Callithrix jacchus: one gene and its partners. The protein of the gene in region 3 purifies or fractionates together with the protein of the main gene of each other region. This does not show direct contact. Links are inferred from orthologs where the notes say so. Each region holds a gene or a part of one and is shown on either strand. Other genes may lie near its edges.

Region 1 (3,940 bases), on a different chromosome or scaffold from region 3:
CAGGTAAGTACTCAGTAATAATGACAAATATTTATTCAACAAATAAGTGATCAATTGGTTGCAAAGCTTGTGTTGTTTCTTCTATCATACTACCGTGATGCTGTGCTACCCTCAGCACAAAAAAACACACCAGGCATGGCCAGTTCAAGCAAAACTGAGCTCCTATCTAGAAAAAGTTTCAGAGAAAACACTGACGTCGGAAAGTTTCAATAAATATTTTAATATCTCAGTTTAAAAGGAAATGGCAGCAAGTACAGAGATCTACCATCTTCTGGTAGAATCACAAAAGGCCTTCCTAGGGAAGTTATATCATAGAAATGTGGGACTTAATCTACAAATAGGAATGGGTGAGAGATCCAGAAGGAACTGTGTGAGCAGAGTAGAAAGATCTCATGGGAGAGACGGAGAGAATCACGGGAAAGGAGGCTACAGAAGTAAGAAGTGGCCAGACTGCAGAAATGTATTACAAACGCGGTAAACACTAGTATTTTGCCCTAAGAGCAGCAGGCAGAGATTGAAGAATTTTAACCAAGGGAGCAATATAATCATGTTTGTGTGTTTAAATGGACAGCTCTGCTGCAGAGCAAAGAACAGACTGGATTGGGACAAGTCAGGTGCCAAGTAGGCCAGTTTGGAGGTAAGAGAGAAGAGTGGTTCTGGGTTGGAAAACAGTGGGAAATGAGATTTCAGACATGCATAGATTAAGAACTCAAGACCTTTTAGAGGTGATGGTGGAGAGTGCCAGAAGAGAATCTTTATTCTTGAATCAGAAGGCTGCAATTATGGCACTGATCACTTCATAGTTGTGTAAATTCAGACAAGAAATAGAAATCTCCCAGGCTTATTTCTTCAGCGCTCTGGAGAGGCAGTCTGATTAGCAGTTAAGGATGAAGACTCTGTAGTCAAACTGACAAGAGTCCATGTTCCAGATTAACCACGTACCAGGCTTTTAATGCAGTGAAGGCTGGCTTTTTCTCCCCTACCCCGAGACGGGATTTCACTCTTGTTGCCCAGGCTGGTGTGCAACAGCGCGATCTCAGCTCACTGCAACCTCCACCATCCAGGTTCAGACAATTCTCCTGCCTTAGCCTCCCAAGTAGCTTGGATTACAGGCATGCACCACCAAGCCTGGCTAATTTTGTATTTTTTTAGTAGAGATGGGGTTTCACCATGTTGGTCAGGCTGGTCTCGAACTCCTGACCTCAAGAGAGCCGCCCGCCTTGTTCTTCCAAAATGCTAGGATTACAAGTGTGAGCCACCGCACTCGGCCAGTACAATTTTGCCTGATGATGATCCAGCAGCCTATTGCATGCACACATAGACTGAATCTGATGAACTGCTAATTCAACTTCCTTAACTTGTCAAAGTATAAAGAGGTTTTGTTTCGTTTTCCTTGAGACAAGGTCTCACTCTGTCACGCAGGCTGGAGTGCAGTAGCATAGTAATGGCTCACTGCAGCCGTGACCTCTAAGGCTCAAGTGATTCTCCCACCTCAGCCTCCTGAGTTGCTGGGACAAGTGCATGCCATCACATCTGGCTAATTTTTGTATTTTTTGTAGAGATAGGGTTTTGCCATGTGGCCCACGCTGGTCTCCAACTCTTGAGCCCAAGTGTTCCACCCGCCTCGGCCTCCCAAACTGCTGGTATTACAGGCATGAGCCACCACACCTAGCCAAGGAGGTTCTTATTAATCTGACAGATTTACTGATCATGTCACTATTCTGCTTAAACCCTTCAAAAGTTTTGCTCCAAGACAAAGTCCAAGCCCTGTCAGATGTTTATCCAAACTTTTCATAATCAAGACCCTTACTTAACCCCCATCTTTTATCTCTTCTCCTCTATTTTTCTTCACTCGAATACTACTGGATTTACTTTCCTTCCTCAAAAACATCCAATGGTCTTGCCTAAGAGGTTTCAAGTATCCTGTTCTCTCTCCCTGAAATCTCTCCCTTGCTATCTTCTCTGGTCACATGTCTCTACTTCCCTATTCCACGTCAATGCAGAATTTGAGGCTCAGAGAGACTATAACATGTGCCTTATCAGAAAACAAGATATGTCGACAGCCACACTTCATTAGGCAGCTCGCTGTGGGACAGCTGTCCTTAACCTCTGAGAATCTGAGGAAACGTATGGAGCCTTTCCCCCAGAAAACACACAGGCATAATTCTTTAGTAAATACTCAGAACTAAAATTCCCCTGCAACCCCAACTTGAACTCCAAGTTAAAAAGAAAGATGACTAGCCTGGAATTCAGAAGATCTGGTTTTACCACCACAGCCAGCTGTGGTCCCTCATGCAAATGGCCTGAGCTCCCCGGCCCTCAGTGTCCTTTATAAGACTGAAAAGATGCAATACGTCCCCCAAAGTAAGTGCGAGGGCCAGTGCTCTCCACGCACACCTATATTGGAAGAGCTCCACCCCAGCAGCGGCTGACAGCTCTTCCTGGCTTTGCCTTCACTCGCGCACGCGGAGTCCGGCTGTGAAGACTAGCACGCGGGACGCTGTGAGCATGCGCAGAACCCCAGCTCATGCGCAGAACCCCAGCTCATGCGCAGAAACCGCAAGCCCGCCCCCTTGCCGGCCCGAACACTCTGGGCAACGCCCCCTCAAGGCGCCTCTCGGCCGCTGACGCTGCCTGCGTGCCTGGCACTCACCTCTACAGTAGGGATCGGCGCAGCCAGCTGCTCGGGCGTCAGGTTCCCAAACTCCTCCGCCAGCACGTCCATACTGCTCACGAAGGAGACAGAAACAGATAAAACCTCCGCGCACGCCTTCCCTGCCCCAAGCAAACTGCAAGACTCCCGGGGAACGGTGCGCGGAGGCCTAAACTGTCCCCGCCGTGCTTGTTGGCTAGAGACGCAGCAGAAAGGTTCCGCCTGCTCCCAGCTCGAATCTGCGGTGGAACCCGGATGTGACCGAAGCCGAGTCGGGAAACTGCGCCCTCTGGTGTAGCTCGGAGATCTGGCGCGGGTTATTCTAAACCGCAGCTGTCAGATTTCTTGCCAATTCTCTGATGCTTGAGACCAGCAAAACACAGTGGTTGTCATTTAAAAAGTAATCCGAAGAAATGTGTAAACGCATAATTTACGCAACTTGAACTAATAAAAGGTGCCTAATAAAAGGTGATTGGTTAAATAAATGGTACATGAGTGTAATGGAATAGTGTTGAAAATTCTCAGAAGCACTAAATGGAAGATGTACGAGTATATACCAACGCATGGAGAAATTTAGTATGAAAAGATGACATTTACGACGGTAGGGGAAGGATGGCCTGTCTAGTAAATGATGTTTGAAGAGCTGATTACCCATTTGGGGATAAAATACATCTGAGTGAATCCTATGTGGTTTAAATATTGAAATGTTAACAAAAACTTAGACGAAAATGTAAGTGAATATATTCATAACATTGAGATGATGAAGGCTTTCAAGACGGCAACACAGTCAATTCATAGAGGATTTTATATTCTAAACCTGATTTAGTGATTCTATGAACATATTTTTAAAAACGAATAGAATTAACAAAAAACAAATTGGCAGATGACAAAGGGCTGGCCTCTCTAATTTAAAATGAGCTCATACAAATCAATAGAAAGAAAAATCCTGTTAGAAAAAAACGAGACAAAATGCACCATAATTAATGGGTACAGAGTTTCGGTTTGGGAAGATGCAAAAGTTCTATAGATGGATAGTGGTGATGGTTGCACAACGATGTGAATGTATTTAATGCTGCTGATCTGTACATCATTTTAAATGGTTAAATGCTAAGTTTTATGTATATTTTACAGTTATAAGAAAAGTTATGAAAATGTGCAAGTACATATAGGCTTTCCAATTTCTCCCCCATAAAGGTAGAACTCTTGCACCAGGTTAATTGTTCTTATTTCCTAATAAGCTACCTAAATTTCAGTGCTTGTATTTTCTAAACATTGCGCTGATATCTG
Region 2 (4,108 bases), on a different chromosome or scaffold from region 3:
TCGAACTCCCGGGCTCAAGTGATCCACCCACCTTGGCTTCCCAGGCGTGAGCCACCATGCTGAGCTTCACAATTTTTTTTAAAAGGGGCTCTAATTATAACACACGCTTTACGAAAACAGGACTAACTCTGTCTCATCCACAATAGCTATATATCTATCCCCAAGGCCTCGTACATACTAGTGCTCAAAAATATGGAAATATCTTTAAAGAAGTTGACTGCGTGTAAGAAATGTAGGCTCTGTGGCAGGCTAGTATTAGAGGTCAGGTTTGAGTGACTGAAAAGCTGCAAGCCATAACTAATTTCATGAATTCACAGAGTATTTACTAAGTGTCCACTACCTGTCAGGTGTTCCAGGTAACAGAATCATGCTGACCTGCAAGTTGGTATACTGGGTAGACAAGCACTACCAACAGCACAGTAAATGCCAAGGCCAGGAAACACAGGGTGTAATGAAAGCACAAAGTACCCACACTAGGCTGGGGGGCCCAACACATAAGTTTTGATTTAAGAGTATGGCAGGAGTAAGATTGCCCCAGGAAGCAGGGGTAGCATAAACAAGGCCTCAAAGCACAGAGCACTGGCGGATGGTGTATGTGTTTTCTAGAACGGTCATTTCCCCCACATGGAGTTTTCCTTCTCCTTGGCTTTACCTTTTTTCAAATAGGGCTTCTATGTTACCCTAGGCTACACCTACCTAAGGACTGAAAACGTTATCTAGTCATCCCAGTTTCCTCCTGTAACATAATCAAAAGGTCTTACCTTACTAAGATCATGACTAAACATCTATATCCCGAAATTCAAGCAGTAAACTGGTATCCTTCCTGTAAATGCCTCAAAGATGGAACCTGATACCACCTAAAACTCTCATGTAAACCCAGAATTCTTACCATTCTTTCAAATTATTTCCCACCCTTGCCCAGTCTACCAGACACAGCAAATGACATAATTCTTTAAAAGCAAAAATGTTTAGCAACAAGCCAAGTCCCCACCCTATCCTCTTCTTTTCTTAAACCAACCAAAGTCTAACTGGAGTCATGCTTTTTGTCTCTGCCCTTACCCCCACCACCCCAATTACAGACATGGATATATACTCCTTTTAATTCCCATAATCACAGTTCTTGTCTAGGCGTCTAATATTTTCAGTTTCCTCATTTTCCATGCTGGCTTAATTGAAAGAAAAAAAAGGTATCCTCGAGGACCATTTGTTTGCATGGAACACAAACCAGTCAAACTAGTTTAAATAAAAGAGGGAATTTATTAGAAGAATACAGAGGTTCTTGCAGAGATTCCAACAGCTACAAGGGGTCAACAGCTAGAATCATGCCTTTCTGAAGGACAGAGTATGCTTTGATCACAAGCTTCTAATTCTGAGTTCTGCACCATCAGGAAGAGAATATCCTAGAGGACAGTTCTCCTTGTATACTGCATAAGGGACTAGAATGTGGATTCATTTCTGCTTGCTTTTTGTTCCTTATAGTTCTTTATGCTGGCCTCAAACTTGTCAAGCACATGTTGGCAGACATTCATGAGCTCATTCAGGCCTCTCTGAAATGGCTCAACAGCTGGAAGGGCACCTCGAGTCTGAATGCGTAAATTAATTTTGCTCTCTGAAGGATGGGTCGTAGTGTAACCACAAAATTCCACTTCCGGGTTCTTCATGATCATGTAACGCAGAGAATTTCCTAGGGTATGGTCCTCCTCGTGCAATACAAATGTCACACAGTGTCTATCTGTTCCAGCTGCCTGGACCATTTCCAGGGCTGTCTTCCTCTCGCCTTCAGCCATTGAGGTCTTCAATCCAGATATTTTTCTACACACATATTTTTTATAAAAATGAGATCATACTGAATATGGTTTTGTAACTAGCTTTTTTCATTTACTATATCACATTGCAACACGTTATCAATCTACTCCAGCTACACAGAACTATTTGCCTCTCATTTTCCTGCCTCCACAAACTCTATCAATAAATATTTAATTTATTGCCTCCGGTTTTTCCATGCTCCATTTGACCATCCACACTGGCCACAAGGGGAGCTTTCTTAGAAAAACACAAACTTAAGTGTTTGCAAAAATATTCTTTGGTAGAGTCACGAGCAAGGGATAAGATTGGAATAGGATGGGTCCTGCTAGAGGATGAAAATGGGGTTGAAAGGCATAGAAATCCCGATTGCTCCAGTATAAAAATAGAGGATACAGATGATCAATGTGCAGGCCCAAAATGGAATGCAGCTTCCATTTTGCAAGAGAAGGAAACTAGGAGAATGGAAGGTCCAGGAGTCAAGCAGGAGGGAGGATAAGAGCTCAGTACACAGAGGAGTGGCTTTAGGAGCAGTCTGCACAGAGAAGGAAAGTGAGCAGTAGTTACAGGGACACAGGCATCAGTACCGTCCTCAAGGAGGCAGGGGCCCGGGGCGTGATTTTACACGCTGCTGTTCTAATGGGGGTGGGCAGTTCGGGGACTTAACTCTGGTCTCCCAACTTGTCTTCCCTCCTTGATAGCTAGCGTACCTTTCAGCCTCTCATTTAAAACACATTCATGTCTCTTCCCCCTTCTCTCTCCACGCCTCTTCCCTGCGCCCGGAGTCAGGCCGGGGCTGCCAGGCCGGGCCGCGTGCCCCTCGGCCACCCGATCCCCTTGGGCGCGGCCCGCTTCGCCCGCCTACTCCTTGGCCATTACCTCTCCAGTTCCTGGTCCTCTTCCATCGTGGAGGCGGTTTCCGGGTCCTCAGGTGGTGCTAACGTATCGGGGGCTCTGCCCCATAGCTCGAGGCGTGGAGACGAAGCAGGAAGGAAGGACCGACCGACGGAAAGCGCGGAGGACGGAAGGAGAGAGGAGGAGCCGCAGCGGCGCGGCAGGGCCCAACGGCGGGGCGGGGCATGAGGCTCCGCCCCCAATCCCCGCCCCGACTCGGGGTCGGCCGTGGCTCACCGCCCCTTGGCTCACCTGGGCGCCCCAGCGAGGCCACCCGCCGCAGGAGGGGCAGAGGGTGGGGCCAGCGCCGCTTTACCCCGAGGCCCAGACCTGCCTGCGGGAGCCCCGGGTCAGCCCTGGTACCTTTCACCAGGTGATGGCGAAGTAGCGGGGCCTTACCTGACGCCCCCAAATCACTTAACTTCACAGTGGCAAGTCCGAAATAGGCCCGACTCCCCCACTGGGGCCGTGTCGACCCAGGGTGGCCCTTCCCAGGACCTCGGCCCTCCCGGGCCTTTCGTGGGACAACAGGCTTAGGCTCTAGTCGGTCAACACACCTTGGAAAGGGGGTCATGTGCGAGATGAGTCACAACAGAACACTAGGGTTGAAGGCGGTGTTTGACCCTGGAGCTTGCAGCTGCATTCTCAACTGGGTCAAAAAAGGGCAGGAAAGAAATGTCTTTCTCTTTTGAGGGAGCGAGAGTTTGGAAGAAAACTGTTTCCCACCTCATCCTTTCTTCGGTCCTAGAATTCCTTATACCCCCGGGGCGCGTCCTCTCCCGCAGTGGACGTCCTTTTCCCTTTACCCCCCGTGGCTCCTCAAACCTCCTCACCTGCGGAACCCGCCCTCACCTTTGTTCCCAGGTGCCCAGCCCCCGCCTCGGCAACCTTTCACCGCCTGGGCTCGCTCTCCGCCCTGCTCCCTGCGTCCCGGCCCTCGCCGCACTCCCTCAGGTGGGCTTACTCGCGAATCGCCCCTTCTTCTCCCCTGGCCGCCGGCCCCGACCCTGCCCTACTCCAGCTGCCCTGTGGTCTTGCGCACCTATGTTTCTGCTTCCCTGCGCCTCCTGTTCTCCTCCCCCACCCCTCCCCGCGATTCCCCTGGATGTCCACTCCCTCCCCAGCTGTGCCATTCCTGGCGGCTGCCGAGGGTGCGCGCAGGCACCTCGCCAGCGGGGCTTCCGCAGGAGAATCAGGCGGCCGGCGGGGACAGCCAGAGGCGGGTGGGGGAGGCAGGCAGCGAGGGCGGAGTGGTCTCACTCTAACCCGGGAGTGACGGTCCCTCTTCTGGCCCGCCTCCCGAGCTCTCGGATAGGCGGGGCCGCCCTCTGGCCCACCCCCTCCCGCCCTGTGCTGCTTCCGATTGGCCCGGGTGCGGGTTGGGCCGCTTGGCCTTGGCGCTGGCCCCCGG
Region 3 (4,033 bases):
GTGCACTTGATAACTCACCAGGTTATGTTGGACAAGAACACACAGGGCTTTTTTCACCTGGATGGGACATAAAGAGAAGAAAGAGAGGAAAGACCTGAAGATATAGCTCATTACTGCTGGCAGTTTTTTGTCCAACAGCTTACCAAGCATCAGAAAATGGCTAGGTAAGAATCTTTGCACTTATTTCCTCTCTCCATTGGAGTAGCTAATAAGAATCATATATCAATACAAGAAATCAGGAAGATTCCTTGCTATCGTTTCTCTGATCCTTATCCTTCAAAACAAAACACAATTTACTTTCCTTCTATCATTCTCATTCCTTTTTTTTTTTGAGACAGAGTCTCACCCTGTCACCAGGCACCAGGCTGGAGTGCAGTGGCACAATCTCGGCTCACTGCAACCTCCGCCTCCTGGGTTCAGGCAATTCTCCTGCCTCAGCCTCCTGAGTAGCTGGGACTATAGGCACGCGCCACCACATCCAGCTGATTTTTGTATTTTTAGTAGAGATGAGGTTTCGCCATGTTGGCCGGGAATGGTCTTGATCTCTTGACCTCATGATCCGCCCTCCTCGGCCTCCCAAAGTGCTGGGATTAGAGGCTTGAGCCACCGCGCCCGGCCCATTCTCATTCCTTAAAAGCAGTACTGAGGTTAGCAGACTTACTGTGAATAAATGAGGTCTGGCATGGGAAGAGCAAAGATTTGCCTAAGAAGCTGTGATGAACTAGAAACACTCTGAGAAAGAAAATGTTGATGCCTAAGTCCCATCCTTTTCTCCCCCAAATAACATTGTTTGCTCCCAGGGCAGGCTTTTTCATTTTTTCCTTTTCTGGGGTGAGAAGAACAATATTCAAAGGTGAGTGAAATAAATTAGTGAAAGAAATGAGAGAAAATTAATGTCATTTAGACGTACCTGATCCAGCGATGTCCCTGTGTCATGGGCAATTACTCTTAGTGGCTGGCTGCCAGTTCTTATCAGGTGGACTCCAATCTTTTCTACAATCTCTCCAAAATGCTCTTGCAGCAACAAAGAACAGAGCTTAATTTCTGCTTGAGTCATTGTACTGGGGAGTCTGAGGGCTAGGGGAAAAAACACCGGAACAGTACGATGGAAAGTCTTTCTTTCATGCTGGAAGCAGAGCTGCTCACTGTAAATTCATGCGTTCTCTCTGGAGGGCAGTTTGACAACACATATCAAAAAGCCTTAAAAATCTTGCATATCTTTAAAACAGCAATTTCTTTTTGGATACTATGTCCAAGGAAAGAATAAAAAGTTAATCAAGTCGCCAGGCGCAGTGGCTCATGCCTGTAATCCCAGCACTCTGGGAGGCCAAGGCAGGCGGATCACTTGAGGTAAGGAGTTCGAGACCAGCCTGGCCAACATGGTGAAACCCTGTCTCTACTAAAAATACAAAAAATAAAAAATAAAAATAAATAAATAAAATAAAATTAGCTGGGTGTGGTGGCATGTGCCTTTAGTCCCCACTACTCAGGAGGATGAGGCACGAAACAAACCATAATAATAATAAAGTCGGCCGGGCGTGGTGGCTCACACCTGCAATCCAAGCACTTTGGAGGCCAAGGCGGGCAGATCACCTGAGGTCGGGAGTTCAAGACCAGCCTGACCAACATGGTGAAACCCCGTCTTAAAAAAATAAATAAATAAAATAATAATAAAGTCACTAGTTCTCTGTATGATACCGACTTACTGGAAACAATCTAATGTCTAATAGTAAATGATGGCATACTACACCGACATTTAAAGTTATTAAGTACCACATGTATTCGTGCAGAAAATTATTCATAATATATTAAGTGACAGAAGCTGCAAAAAATTAACATTCGATTATTGTAAAAAAAAGGAAAAATGTATGCATAGAGAAAGACTATGCATCAAATTTATCTTTCTGGGACTATGCGTGATTCTGATTTTCTTTAAAGATAGGGAGTAGATTATTTCGCAGTCTGTCACACTTCATTGCTTAGGAGAATTAAGGTCACTGTTCACAGCCCGGTAGGAGTGAGCAGGTAGTGTTCATTCTCAGTGAACATTCTCAGCCCATAAAGGAAATGATAATTTCGAAAAAGAAATTTAGGAGGTAAAGGACTGCTTCTCAACAGGGCGTGTCAAATAGGAGATGAGGTTACATTGTTTTCAGGGCAGTATTCATTCCTGAAACTTGTACTCCTTGACAAAGTTGACACAATCAGAAATTGATGTAGTTGATTATATGATTATTTCGTTATTACAAATTGCTACCAATTCTTAAGAAGCCAAGTCTTTGGCACCCCCGCCTAAGTATCACCAGAGACCTGTTTGATCCATGCACATATCTTTGGAGAAGCATCCCCAGACCCCTTGCCATCCTCGGAAAGGACTTCCAAGGCGCTTGGCTCCTAGCTCTTCACTCCCTTTACATAGGTTCGCCTTCCAGACTCGGTCTCTCGGTCAGAGTCAGCGCCGCCTCGCGCCGACAGCATTTTCCACTAACCTCAGGGTCAGCGCAATCCAGAGGCTCCAAACCCAACGCCTCCGAGCTCCTCGCGGCGGCTTCCTGCGGCTCCCGCTGGCCTTCCGAGCGGAGGTGGAGCCCACCGCCCTTTCTAGGAAGAGGCCGGCCACGGAACACAACGCAGAAAGGCGAAAAGCTCGTGCCGCTCTACCCCCCCCGCCCCGAGTTTCGGCGGCTTCCGGGGACGCTCTTCCTTTCTTCTCGCTGGAAGGCTGGAGGACCCGCGAGGGGCTGCTTGAGGAGCAGGCAGGCGGGCGGGTTGCCGCTCCTTCCGGCTCCTCTTTGGTTCTGGGAGGCGGGCCGCAGGGTCGCCGTCAGCGCCGCCGCCTCTCTGGGTCGGGCCGGCTCACGTGACCGACGCGGGCTCTGAAGCGGTGGGCCGTACCGAGGCGGCGGCGGCGACGGCGACGGCGACTGCAGCTCGAGAGGTAGCGGCCTGGAGAGGGACGGGCCGGCTGCCCTCTCGGACGGCCGCGGCGGAGGACAAAAATGGCGGAGGCCTCGGCGGCCGGGGCGGACTCGGGCGCCGCCGTGGCTGCCCACCGGTTTTTCTGCCACTTTTGCAAGGGCGAGGTCAGCCCCAAACTACCGGTAAGAGCCCCATGCCCTCTGTACTCGGGAACCGCATAGATTCCTGGCCCCGATGTCCCCGAACTAGGTCTGGGGCTTTCCGCACACGCTCGACTCGCCTGGCATCGGTCTGCCGAGTACCTGCTGCCCTGTGTCCGCAGCCGCTGGCCCTAAGCCCCGGGCGTCACGGTCCCGGCGCTGTACCTCCTGCTCACCTCTTCCTCATCCTGGGCTGTTCCACCTGCCCTCACGTCTTTACCACCCCCCCCCATCTTTCTTTTTCTTTAGCAAGTTTTTCTTTGACAACTCTCCCATCAATTTTCTCGCACTCTTTTATACCTCGTCTTTTTCCCACGGTGACCTTCCCCCGTACTCTTTCCTCTGTGTCTTCTCACCTTCCTCTATTTTCACACTTTTAACCGCCCCCCCCCCGACCCCTCTTCTCAGCGAAGCAAAATAGCGGATTGCTGAGGATTGTCCCTATTCGGTTGTCTCTAGGGAAGGAAGCACAGAATGGGGCGGGAAGGGGCATTTTGCTTTTCAGTGGTTTCCAGGGTCGTTGTGAAGGTGAAAACAGCACCCTATTAATGCCTTGCAGACGGCCTGCACTCCTATCACTGATGAAGGAAATGGCTTTAGGAAGAAGGCAGGACGTATTGTTTCAACTTGGTTTATTTTGATTGTCATGCTGCCAGTGTCTTTAATACCATTGTTCTGCTCCCCCCACCTGCCCCGCGTGCCTTGTGTCTTTCTTCACATAAGAAAAAGGTCCCCGACAGAATGTTTTCACGACTTTTTGCCAGACTGTTAGCCCCTTGAGAGGCAGTGCTGTAGCCGTGAAGAAAATACTTTGGTAGGTCAGGCTCAGGTCTGTAATCTCAGTGCTTCGGGAGGTCGAGGCAGGAGGATTGCTTGAGGCCAGGAGTTTCAGACCAGCCTGGGCAACACAATGA

Evidence for each region. The genes of interacting proteins can lie anywhere in the genome.
Region 1: the proteins of POLR3C (region 3) and POLR3B fractionate together in Homo sapiens (co-fractionation; 4 studies listed by BioGRID and IntAct, with this or other methods). This does not show direct contact. The link is inferred for Callithrix jacchus from reciprocal best matches to the Homo sapiens genes POLR3C and POLR3B.
Region 2: the proteins of POLR3C (region 3) and protein POLR1D purify together in Homo sapiens (affinity purification with mass spectrometry; 3 studies listed by BioGRID and IntAct, with this or other methods). This does not show direct contact. The link is inferred for Callithrix jacchus from reciprocal best matches to the Homo sapiens genes POLR3C and POLR1D.

The regions. Positions count from the first base shown.
Region 1 is NC_133510.1:109,225,036-109,228,975, reverse strand, and holds the start of POLR3B (DNA-directed RNA polymerase III subunit RPC2), read right to left. Parts: upstream 2,801-3,940; 5' UTR 2,726-2,800; coding exon 2,654-2,725; intron 2,488-2,653; exon of another isoform or gene 2,398-2,487; intron 1-2,397. UniProt on the Homo sapiens protein: Catalytic core component of RNA polymerase III (Pol III), a DNA-dependent RNA polymerase which synthesizes small non-coding RNAs using the four ribonucleoside triphosphates as substrates.
Region 2 is NC_133506.1:146,817,298-146,821,405, reverse strand, and holds the start of protein POLR1D, read right to left. Parts: upstream 2,801-4,108; 5' UTR 2,709-2,800; coding exon 2,683-2,708; intron 1,813-2,682; coding exon of another isoform or gene 1,437-1,812; exon of another isoform or gene 1,238-1,436; intron 1-1,237. Other genes in the region: POLR1D (DNA-directed RNA polymerases I and III subunit RPAC2), read right to left, coding at 1,437-1,812, 2,683-2,708; uncharacterized protein LOC144582762, read left to right, coding at 3,373-4,108.
Region 3 is NC_133519.1:8,259,192-8,263,224, reverse strand, and holds the start of POLR3C (DNA-directed RNA polymerase III subunit RPC3), read right to left. Parts: upstream 2,801-4,033; 5' UTR 2,330-2,800; coding exon 2,311-2,329; intron 1,078-2,310; coding exon 911-1,077; intron 58-910; coding exon 1-57. Other genes in the region: E3 ubiquitin-protein ligase RNF115, read left to right, coding at 3,000-3,101. UniProt on the Homo sapiens protein: DNA-dependent RNA polymerase catalyzes the transcription of DNA into RNA using the four ribonucleoside triphosphates as substrates.